Canis lupus familiaris: one gene and its partners. The protein of the gene in region 1 interacts with the protein of each later gene in a pairwise test. Links are inferred from orthologs where the notes say so. Each region holds a gene or a part of one and is shown in the gene's direction. Other genes may lie near its edges.

Evidence for each region. The genes of interacting proteins can lie anywhere in the genome.
Region 2: the proteins of GFAP (region 1) and PDLIM1 interact in binary tests that used the Homo sapiens proteins (3 or more experiments, as listed by UniProt). The link is inferred for Canis lupus familiaris from reciprocal best matches to the Homo sapiens genes GFAP and PDLIM1.
Region 3: the proteins of GFAP (region 1) and NXF1 interact in a two-hybrid assay, tested with the Homo sapiens proteins (3 studies listed by BioGRID and IntAct). The two-hybrid records come from large-scale screens. The link is inferred for Canis lupus familiaris from reciprocal best matches to the Homo sapiens genes GFAP and NXF1.

What each region holds. Positions count from the first base shown.
Region 1 is NC_049230.1:18,455,326-18,459,620, forward strand, and holds the start of GFAP (glial fibrillary acidic protein), read left to right. Parts: upstream 1-1,461; 5' UTR 1,462-1,487; coding exon 1,488-1,951; intron 1,952-2,835; coding exon 2,836-2,896; intron 2,897-3,090; coding exon 3,091-3,186; intron 3,187-4,271; coding exon 4,272-4,295.
Region 2 is NC_049249.1:8,975,505-8,979,072, reverse strand, and holds part of PDLIM1 (PDZ and LIM domain protein 1), read left to right. Parts: intron 1-3,387; coding exon 3,388-3,568. UniProt on the Homo sapiens protein: Cytoskeletal protein that may act as an adapter that brings other proteins (like kinases) to the cytoskeleton. Involved in assembly, disassembly and directioning of stress fibers in fibroblasts.
Region 3 is NC_049239.1:54,407,243-54,410,810, forward strand, and holds part of NXF1 (nuclear RNA export factor 1), read left to right. Parts: intron 1-510; coding exon 511-594; intron 595-704; coding exon 705-809; intron 810-905; coding exon 906-986; intron 987-1,095; coding exon 1,096-1,165; intron 1,166-1,308; coding exon 1,309-1,397; intron 1,398-1,524; coding exon 1,525-1,632; intron 1,633-1,787; coding exon 1,788-1,897; intron 1,898-3,568.

The sequences.
Region 1 (4,295 bases):
AGGCCTTGTCTGCAGTGCTGGGCTGGCCCCCGCCCCCCTACCAGGGCCTTTGCCTTGTGCCCACTGAATGACTCACCTTGGCACAGACACAATGGTCGGGGGTGGGCACAGAGCCTGCTCCCCACTGCCCCCGGGGCCCCCTCAGATGCTTCCGAGAAGCTCTTTGAGCTGGGGGCTTGGGCTGTACTCTGCCTAACAGCCTGGCATCTTGGGATAAAAACAGCACAGCCCCTCGGGGGCTGCCCTCTCCATGTGGCGCCCTGACCAGTGGTGGAAAACAAGGCTCTATTCAGCAAGTGTCCAGGAGAAGGGATCAGAGGCCCAGGCATTGGCCTCAGTGGGGCGGGGAGAGGAAGGCTTCCCAGAAATCCAAGGACACAGATGGGTGAGGGGCCTGGGTGAGGCTCTGGCCCCATGGGATCAGAAGAGAAGGGTGGATGGATCTGAAGTGTCAGGCTACAAGACGCCAGCCTGGGCTCCTAATATGGACCCAGTGGCTCCTGGGTTCCCAAAATGACCCATCCCCAGAGGCGTTTCCCATCCTCTCAGCCTGATGTGTGGGAACTCAAAGGATATAAATCTCCAGTGTGAAAGTGAGGTGAGGGGTGGTGGGGAAACTGGGGGATGGAGCAACAAAGATGGGAGCTGGGACAGCCAGCTCATCTATAACTGCTTTGTGCAGCTGTCTAGACCGGGCTCTAGGCAGGGGTACAGAGAGGCCAGGCACAGGGGAAGTGAACTTGGTGGGACAGAGGCAGGGGCTTAAGTGTGGTCCAGGGAGAAGGCCAGGGAGTCCAACACCTGCCCTTCTTGCCCCTTCAAAACTTCTATGTCCCTTCCTTCACCCCCCACCCCCTGCTGGACAGAGGCCTCAAATGACCCTCTAGACAAAGGGCTGGTATCCAGTTCCAGCCCACAGCCCCAGACCTCCGGGGAAGGGGGAGAAAGCAGGAATGCAGGACGCCTATGTTCAGAGCAGAGAAGTCCAACAGTCCACTAGGATCGGGGCTCAGCACTGTAACACGGGCTGCTTCTTGAGAGTATGGAACACATTTGCTGTTCGCAAATTCCAGCACTTAGCAGGCACTAGGAGGAGTGCTGAGCCGGGAAGGCCTGCTTTATGGGATCTAAGAGGTGGAAAGCGGTGGAAAGCGGGTCAGAGGTCATCTAATCCAGCCCTTTCTTGGCCCAACTTCCCAGAGAAAGGGCCTCCTTGCCTAAGTGGTCAGGGCCGCAGATGGAGCATCAGGCCCCAGGCATCGCCCACCAGCACCTCTGTCTGTGACCCGGCTGGGGTTGGCGTGCCCACGAGGCCCAGCCCCTGGGCACAGTGACCTCGGTGGGGTGAGAGGAGCCCCCCCGGAGCTGCGGCCCAGCCCCTCCCCCTCAGGCCATGCCAGGGGGCGTTGCCAGGGGCAGCCGGGGCCGTGCCAGGCAAGCCCTCGCCTCCATAAAGCCCTCACTTCCCGGGAGCGGGCAGGGCCAGCATGGAGAGGAGACGGGTCGCCTCGGCCGCTCGCCGCTCCTACGTCTACGTCTCCTCGTGGGACATGGCGGGGGGAGGCCCGGGCTCCGGCCGCCGTCTGGGGCCGGGCCCCCGCCCCTCCGTGGCTCGGATGCCGCTGCCGCCAACCCGGGTGGACTTCTCGCTGGCCGCGGCGCTCAACGCCGGCTTCAAGGAGACACGGGCCAGCGAGCGCGCCGAGATGATGGAGCTCAACGACCGCTTTGCCAGCTACATCGAGAAGGTGCGCTTCCTGGAACAGCAGAACAAGGCTCTGGCTGCTGAGCTGAACCAACTGCGGGCCAAGGAGCCCACCAAGCTGGCCGACGTCTACCAGGCCGAGCTGCGAGAGCTAAGGCTGCGGCTAGACCAACTCACTGCCAACAGCGCCCGGCTGGAGGTCGAGAGAGACAATCTGGCACAGGACCTGGGCACCCTGAGGCAGAAGTGAGGAGGGGGCCCGGGGTGAGGGACCTCCGGAGCAGGGAAGACGCCCGCCCCTCGCAGGCCCAGGACCTCAGGCGGAGCCTCTGACTCTGTGATCCTTGGCTCCTCTGTTTACCCATCTCCGGGAGGGGAGGGCTGTCCTTGCTCCCCAAGATGAGAGGGACTGGGAGGAGGCCGAGTCCCAAGGATCTGACTCCCAAAGACCTCTTGCAGAGGAGCCACGGTGCTCTCAGCACCTCCCCTTTGGGGAAAGCCATGTGGGAACAGTCAGGGACCCCCATAGGCAGGGTCTTCATGTTTCATTCGCTGCCGCTGGGCCTGGTGCCCTTGCAGAGCCCGTGGAGTGGAGAAATGGGAAGGGAAGATTGGTGTTCACTAGGAGGACGGGGCTCTGGGGCAAAGGAGGAGGTGAGGAAAAGAGCAGGTGAGCCTGGCTTGGAAACACAGGTGATACTGCCTGTCACCAGCTTATGATCCTGGTCAAGCCACTTTAGCTTGCAGTGCTGTGAAGTAGAGATTCTAATAAACCTATTTCCAAAGGTCAGAGGAAACCCCAGGGACGTGGCGTTTTGCTGAGCTGGCAGGGCAGGCATGTGTGCCCTCAAGTACAGGAAGATGAGTGTGCATGCAGCAGTGAGTGTATGTTGGTGAAAGTGCCTGTGTGAGCAGGAGCAGGTGCACCAACCTTGATAAAGCACTTTAGTAATGAGTTAAAGCACAGGCCCTTATCTGCTCACCCTCCTGGCCAAGGCTCTGTCTGGGACCCTCTGCCCTTCACTCCTCCTGTCATTCCACTGGGCCTAGGGGTAGGGGTGGGGGTCTCTCTGGCAGCCACCTCCAGGGAGATTGGGGCAGACACCCGGGAATGTGTCCCCCTACCCCAGGTTCCAGGATGAAACCAACCTGAGGCTGGAGGCTGAGAACAACCTGGCCAGTTATCGACAGGTGAGGGGGGTGGAGGGGAGGGATGGGGGAGGGGGGTAAAGAGTTGATGGCAGCTCACTCACACAGCCCCTAAGCCCAGCCCTCCAGAGCAATGTGCTGCTCTCCCCAGCCACAGAAGGAGGGACCAGACAAGACATGGGAGTGGGGAGAAGGAGTCTGGGGTCAGAGCAGCCTTTCGTCCCTCCCTGCTCCAGGAGGCAGATGAAGCCACCTTAGCCCGTCTGGATCTGGAGAGGAAGATTGAGTCTCTAGAGGAGGAAATCCGGTTTTTGAGGAAGATCCACGATGAGGTAAGGCCCTCAGAGAGATTGAAATGGATAGAGAGACAGAGACAGACAGAAAGAAAATAAGCATAGGGGAGACAGACAGAGAGATAAGAGAGCATCCTTAGCCCCTGATGAAATCCATAGACACACACCACTTACTAAGAATTATAACAGAACTTGTTGCCCCCCCCTCCTTTTTTTTAAAGATTTTATTTCTTCATGAGAGACATAGAGAGGCAGAGACATAGGCAAAGGGAGAGGCAGGTTCCCTATGGGGAGCATGATGTGGGACTCGATTCCAGGACCCCAGGATTAAGACCTGAGCCAAAGGCAGACGCTCAACCACTGAGCCACCCAGGTGCCCCACCCCATTTTTTATTTCACAACAGCCCTGTGTGATAGGAACCCTTCCGGTATTATTTCCTTTTCACAGAGGAGGACGCCGAAGCCCAGATATGTGACTTGCTGAGGTCACATAGTCTCTCTGACATCACCCCCACTGCCACCTGTCTCCATTTAAATGCGAGCCACTCATTTTATTTTTATTTATTTATTTATTTTATTTATTTATTTATTTTTAAGATTTATTTATTCAGAGAGGGCGCAAGAGAGGTAGAGACACAGGCAGAGGGAGAAGCAGGCATCATACAGAGAGCCTGATGTGGGACTTGATCCAGGGTCTCCAGGATCACACCCCGGGCTGCAAGCGGCGCTAAACCGCTGCGCCACCAGGGCTGCCCGAGCCACTCATTTTAAAAAGACACCACTGAGATCTGACTTCAGATTATAGATTCATAATCTATGATGCCATGGAACCTGGGACCCTGCAGACACACCCACACCACAGGGACTCAGTTGCTCTCCATAAGAACACAGGCACACTTTCAGTGCTCCTGCCTGGTGGAACCTGGGAGGAGGACACCATGAGGCCCCCAAACTACCCTCTGCCTCCCCTGGCCTGGGCCATGCCACTTCCTCTAATAGGACTGCCCAATTTCCCTTAGCTAACATCAATGTCCAAGGGGCAGGCAGGCAAGGGCATGATATTGTGGGGAAATGCCAGTTGCAGCCTAGGCCCCAAGCCCTGGCATCCCTTCTCTCCTGGCCAGGAGGTGCAGGAGCTCCAGGAGCAG
Region 2 (3,568 bases), on another chromosome or scaffold:
CTATCCTTTATACATGACGGAAACTTCTATGAAAATGAACTCATGGGCAGCCCGGGTGGCTCAGCGGTTTAGTGCCGCCTTCGGCCCAGGGCCTGATCCTGGAGACCCAGGATTGAGTCCCATGTCAGGCTCCCTGCATAGGGCCTGCTTCTCCCTCTGCCTGTCTCTCTGCCTTTCTTCTCTCTCTGTGTACCTCATGAATGAATAAATAAAATTTAAAAAAAAAATGAACTGATGAAAAAAAAGAAAACGAAATCATGGAGTGTATTGTGTGAATAAATTGAGTAGTTTTTTATAAGTCCAGTTTTCTCAAAGGTATCTGTTAAAATTTCTGAAATGTAGTTACACAACATTTTTTTCAGTAATACATAAAAGTCATACTCAGGAAATCCTAAGAGTTATATTAAGGACCATTTTGCATCTGGCATTTCAAAACTGGCATAAACATGTTTTTCCGTATAGCTCTGTAAGGAAAGCTGATAGAATGGCACTCAGCCTATAAACCAGTAGTTGTACAAACTAATTTTATTTTTTTATTATTTTTTGAAAGTTTATTTATTTTATAATAAGGTCTACACCCAACATGGGGCTCAAACTCACAACCCCGAGATCAAGAGTCACACACTTTTACAACTGAGCCAGCCAGGCACACCTCATGCAAACTGATTTTAAACATATCACCATTAATTCCAATTTCCCAAGGAGTTCTTTCTTAGCTACTTCACTGAATTTACTGTAAATGTTAAGTTTTAATGTGTTATGTTCTCATACATTTTATAATACATAAGGAATGATTTTGTTTTAATTTGGTCTACCTAAAATCTTATCTTCGCTTAAATAAGGTAATACTTAATGTTTCAGTTAATACTTTTTATATGTCTTATGCTTGGGTTTTCATCATAAACATATAATCTGGTCCCTGTATTCATATTTTGAAAGGTATTTCCCTTCTTTAAAAAAAAAGAATTTAAAAAATTCTTTACAAATACTTTAGCATCTAACTTGAGTATATTTTTCTTTTGATTCCAGTAATTCTTCATTCCTATGAAAAACTTCCCACTCTCCTTTTTCCAAAACCTTCCACTTCCAGTCATTCTAAAATAAAGGAATGAGTAAGAGCAGAGTTCATCTATAATTAAAAGATCTGTTAGTTCATGTAATGCCAACCACCACCCCAGCTTATCTGAGGTCAGAGTAGTTACACACCTAGTTTATATTTCCTCATTATTGAGTTTCCTTGGAGACTGATAAATACAAAGCCCAAACAATTACATCATCCTTCCCAAAGGCAGGCCCTGAATTAACCGCCTGACTTCTGGACAGACCAGTATTCACATGGGGTTAGAGATATTCCTTTTATGTACAAAACAGATACATTCTCAGAAGATTCTCTATAAAGTGAAAACTCAGAATTTCCAACTGGGATAATTTTCTGTTGACGTCCGTTCTAATTGAAAAGGTGTTTCTAGGGAGGGAGAAGGGACCCAACACTGGTTGAATGTCTGCTACGTGCCAGTCACTGTGCTTGGTATGCTAGTATGTCACACCAAGTCCTTATGGACAAGGTTTTATTTACTTCATTGTAAAGATGAGAAATGGGTTCAGAGGGATCCCTGGGTGGCGCAGCGGTTTGGCGCCTGCCTTTGGCCCAGGGCGCGATCCTGGAGACCCGGGATCGAATCCCACATCAGGCTCCCGGTGCATGGAGCCTGCTTCTCCCTCTGCCTGTGTCTCTGCCTCTCTCTCTCTCTCTCTGTGACTATCATAAATAAATTTAAAAAATTAAAAAAAAAAAAAAAAAAAAGAAATGGGTTCAGAGAGCTAGAACTTGCCCAAAGCCAAACAGGAAGTGATAGGAAAATTGAGTGGAGACAGAAAAATAGGAATCTTCCTTGGAATCTTCCTTGGTGCTCAGCATCCTGCTCTGAGGAACTGCTGCAGAGAGAGAGAATAGAACTGCGACTATGGCTGTGTCTGTGTGTCTATCCCACGCTGCCCTGACGTGCATGCACCAAAGTCCCGAAGCCACCACCAATCTACAAATCCACCGCTGATCTACAAATCCCCTGCTGTTAATGACTATTCCTCAGGGGTTGTCATTCCGTAAAATTCACTTAACCATGCTTTGGTTACTGCTGAAGTTACTCTCCTAACTAATTAGACCTCCCCCTTTATGAAGGATCTGTGTGTACTTTGCTTTTGTCCAAGGTGGACAAAGTGAACTCAGCCTTCATTTCTACATTAAAACCTCACTGTTTCCAACTGGTTAAAAAGGAAGCCTATCTGACTAGTGAAAAAGAGATTGCAATCAAAATATTTTCTTGTGGTCTTTTATTTTAAATCAGTACATTGTGAAGTAGGCCATTACTTTTCATCATAGTGTTTTTAAGAAGGTACAAAAGACTTGAAGTTTTGGCAAAAAAGAGAGAGGGAAAAAAAAAGGAAGAGCAACAGAAGACCAGAACTCTTTGGGGGCCAGTTGTTATGGGCCTCGGTGTTAAGAAAGAGAACAGGGTTCAGGAAAGTTCTGTATTGGGGAACACAGAAAACATGGTGCATGTTGAGTTTAATAGCTGCACCGTCCGTGTAGTCGGGTTGGTCCAGAATATTTGTGCGGAAAAAGCATCTTTCCAGTTGGATTGTCAGAAAAGCCATGATTTTTAAGAACAGGAATGTTAGTTTAAAAAGTGTGTGTGTAAGTGTTTGCAAAGAAGCTCTGGGCTGTTGTAGTGGCAGGAATTACCCAGGGCTCCTGGCAGCCCGGGGAGGGGTGGAGGGCACCGGCTCACGTTCTGGGAGGGGCCGGGTGCAAGGAGCTCCTGGACGTGCCCCTCTAACCGGTAGCTCCAGCCTCTAGCTCCAGCCTCTGCCTGCCCAGCCGAGCCGTGGCCTTCTCCTGCAAGCAACCACAGACCCTGAGCTCCTTCTACCCCTTCCTGCCAGAGCACCAAGCCACCTCTGTCATCTCAGCAGCTGCTTTGCCCGGTGGCCTCACAGGCTTCTTATCTTGCTTGTCTGACCCACTGGATCCTAGCTAATTTGTTTCCACATTTTATCGTTTCCTGCTCCACACTGACCCAAGCGACTGCCTGTTCTTCTCCTCCTTGTACCGTAATCCCTCTGGAATGTGCCCTGAAAGGGTGTATCAGCTCCAGCTTGAATCATGACAGCCCAAGGCACCTGGGGGTGTCGTGCCCACGGGTGCCCAGCTGCAGATCAGGCCTGACTGGGCCCCAGGGAAAAAGGAGAAGCCGGAGCTGGTGTGCGACCCAGGGCCACTGTAGCTCATCAGAACACCTTTCTTTCTTTCTGCATTCAGCCTGCACTGTCCCTCGAGGGGTGTGCACCAAGCGCCTCCTTGATTTCTCTTCTGATCTCTGCCGACAGGAGGTCCTGCACATAGGAAGCGCCCACAACCGGAGTGCCATGCCCTTTACCGCCTCGCCGGCCTCCAGCTCTGCCCCCAGGGTCATCACAAACCAGTACAACAACCCAGCTGGCCTCTATTCCTCTGAAAACATATCCAACTTCAACAACGCCTTGGAGTCAAAGACAGCAGCCAGTGGGC
Region 3 (3,568 bases), on another chromosome or scaffold:
GTATGGGGCTTGGGGTCCCTTAAGTTCTCTGAGGGGTGGGCCAGGTCTAAATCATATCTAAGAACTTTTAGAACCAAATAGTTTGGGGAACCTGGGTGGCTCAGTCGGTTAAGCATCTGCCTTCATCTCAGGTCATGATCCAAGGGTCTTCGGATCAAACCCCAGCAGGGAGCCTGCTTCTCCCTCTCACTCTGCCTGCCCCTCCCCCTGATTGAGCGCGCGCGCTCTCTCTCTCTCTCTCTCTCTCTCTCTGTGTTAAATAAATAAATAAATGAAATCTTAAATTTAAAAAAGGAACCACATAGTTCTATTTTCTTGAAAAATACTAAGTTTAAATGGGCAGAAAGGAAGGTAAGGAATCTGTGTCTGACTTGAGTAAAAAAAAAAAAAACTTTTAACTGGCCCTTCCTTTAGGAAATGTCATAGAAGTTGGCAGAAGGTGTGAAAGGAGCACTAGGTTGAGTCTGTTGGTCAGCCTTTATTACATGATATTCCTTCTCTCTCATCTAGATTCCCTATGGGAGAAAATATGACAAGTCATGGCTCCTGAGTGTGATTCAGAGCAAGTGCAGTGTCCCTTTCACCCCCATTGAGGTGAGATAAGGCCCAGGTGGCTGACTGGGCACCAAGGAAGGTGAGGGGCCAGCTGGACCAGGGGCCCCAGGCTCCCAGTCTCATGCTCTTGTTTCTTCCTCTTTGTGCAGTTTCACTATGAAAACACACGGGCCCAGTTTTTTGTGGAGGATGCCAGTACCGCCTCTGCATTGAAAGCTGTCAACTATAAGATTTTGGATCAGGAAAACCGAAGGGTGTGTGTAAAGGGCCTGGCTTGGCTGGAGTTGGGTCGTGGTCCTGTGGCTTAGGCTTTCCCAGAATTCACCTTGCTCTCTGTGTCTTCCCTGCAGATATCTATCATCATCAACTCCTCTGTCCCACCCCATTCTGTACAGAACGAACTGAAGCCAGAACAAGTAGAGCAACTAAAGGTGAGGCAGGCTCACGTCATGTGTCTCCTCTCTAGTTCCACCAGTTCTCACATCCACAACCCCTCTGCACAACCCGAGTGACCGCTGACCCCTTTTCCTTCTCCTGTAGCTGATCATGAGCAAACGATACGATGGTTCCCAACAAGCACTTGACCTCAAGGGTCTCCGTTCAGACCCAGGTATGACTAGCAGCGGTCATTCTCAGAGAGGTGGAGGCAGAGGGGGGTCTGTCGGGCGGGGAAAGTTTGAGAATAGTTTGGTATGAACTCTGACGTGGGAAAGTCCTCTCAGACTTCCTCTCTTTCCTTTATGCTGCCTGAAGACTTGGTGGCCCAGAACATCGATGTTGTCCTGAATCGCAGGAGCTGTATGGCGGCTACGCTGCGAATCATTGAGGAGAATATCCCTGAGGTGAGGCTTTTGTCCTGCTTAGAGATGGGAGGAGGCAGAGTGGGACAGGTAGAATGGGGCTAGGAGGCAGATGTGTCTCCGAATCCTTTGTTGGCAGTGCTTCCTCTAATCCTTTCTCTGCCTGTAGCTCTTGTCCTTGAACTTGAGCAACAATAGGCTCTACAGGCTGGATGACATGTCCAGCCTTGTGCAGAAAGCACCCAACCTGAAGATCCTCAACCTCTCCGGAAATGAGGTGAGACCTGAGGGTCTGGTTATGTTGTGTGGGGCGGTGAGTAGAGGGTGCAGAGGGCTCGCCTGCTGACAGCAGAAGGCACGGTGTGGGGATCTCACTGGCTCGGCTCCCTCATTGGGGTCTCCTGCCCACTCTCTCTGCCCTCCTCTCCGCAGTTGAAATCTGAGAGGGAACTGGACAAGGTAAAAGGGCTGAAGCTGGAAGAGCTGTGGCTTGACGGAAACCCGCTGTGCGACACCTTCCGAGATCAGTCCACCTACATCAGGTCAGTTGTAGCCTCTGTCTCCCCTCCTGGGGACCTTCACCCCCTGGGAGGCTGAGCTAATGTACCCTGACCAGTGCCCGTCTGCAGGAGATGTGCAGCCCTGAGCTGGAACCACCTGTCCTTTGGGAGGATCACATGCTCCTCCCTTCGTCTGTCTGTGTGTCCCAGTTTGGCCCCGAGGTCTCCTTACCTTCCTTCTCACCTGACTACCTGTTTGCTGTTCTGTGGTCTTTCCTCTTCCCAAACACAGCCTTTTCTAGAGTCTCCCTACTCTCCTGTTCCAGGAAGGGCATCTCCTGCTTTGTGGCATGACCATGGGGTATCTGTCATCTGCCCCATACATGGAGCTGCCTTATGCAAGAGCCTGCTGTCCCAGGGCTGAGAAAGCCTTTCTGCCCTGGGACTTCCTGTTGATGGGCCTTTCCTTCTTTGTTCTGCGCTAGCCCCTCTTGCCGTTTGGCCAAGAGGGACTCTCTTCTCACGGTCCACGTGCCCAAGGCCACCGTTGCCTGGGCTTTCTCCCTCATGCTGAGGTTGAGGCCTCCTCGGAGCTGGTGCCATGCATTCTGTCTCTCTTGCCTGGAGCTGTGTGAGCTGGGCCCTCCCTGGAGAAGAAACCTGGGTTCCCCAAGCTGTGTGAGCAGAGCTGGGGCCCCGCCGGCAGGCGAGGGAAGCCCAAGGCAGGTGCTGGGCGTGGAGGCCACGGGGGCATAGACTGCGGAGGAGACAGAGCACTGACCCTCTTGGGGGCGCTGCCCCGCCCTCACTCGCACACCTCACGTCACCCTGCTTGGCCCCGGAGGATGGCTGGTTAGCCAGAGACGGGTAAGATTCCTCAGGGAAGGAACAACCTAAGACAGGCACAGTCGCAGAGGGGCCATCAGGAGAGAACTTGGGGGCCAACAGAGGTGGGGCACAGACCCTCACCCCCCCAACTCTGCAGGGGCCTGAACCCTCACCCCTCCTGAGGGAGGTCTCCTGCCCCCATGGCTGCTTCACATCCCACGCCCAGCTCAGATTGGGACCCAGGTAGCAGACAGAGACCTGGCCAACAGCAACTGCCCTCCGGCCGCAGCGAGAATTTGTTTCCCGTCTGTACCTTGGACCAGGGAAAGAAGGGGCAGCTGAAGGAAAAGGCTGTGTCGGGTGTCCTCTTCCCTTTTTTCTTCCTTGTTTTTCCTAAGGCCTCCTTTGGCCTTTGCTTTCTTTCTTTTTACTCTCTCCCCTCCTCTGTGTCCCCATCTCTCCCTGGCCTTGGCCCCATCCTCCCTTCTCTCTTTCTCTTCTTCTCCTTCTCCATCTTCTTCCTTCACCTCTTCCTGACCCCCTACCTTGCTCATTTCCCTGCCCCAACATCCTGTGCCATCCCTGTGGTGTGTTCTGGTCTTGGCTATGGCCAGGCTGGGCAGAACTGATGGATACCTGTTGAGGCAGCGGAGCCCCTGGGCTCCCACCCCATTCCCTCCTCCCGGGGCTGCACAGGTGAGTAGGTGGAAGGTAAGGGGGGCAGGGAGGGGAAGGAGGTCCTGGCTTAAAGCCTGGGCTGGGAGTGCTGCTCTTGTGGCGCTCGGGTCAGGCAGCAAGAAGAGCGTCTGCCTTCAAGGCGGTTGTTTCTGGGTGCCCCGGGTGAAGTGGGGAGTGGGGCCTCTTTCCCCAGAGCTCAGAGGCTGG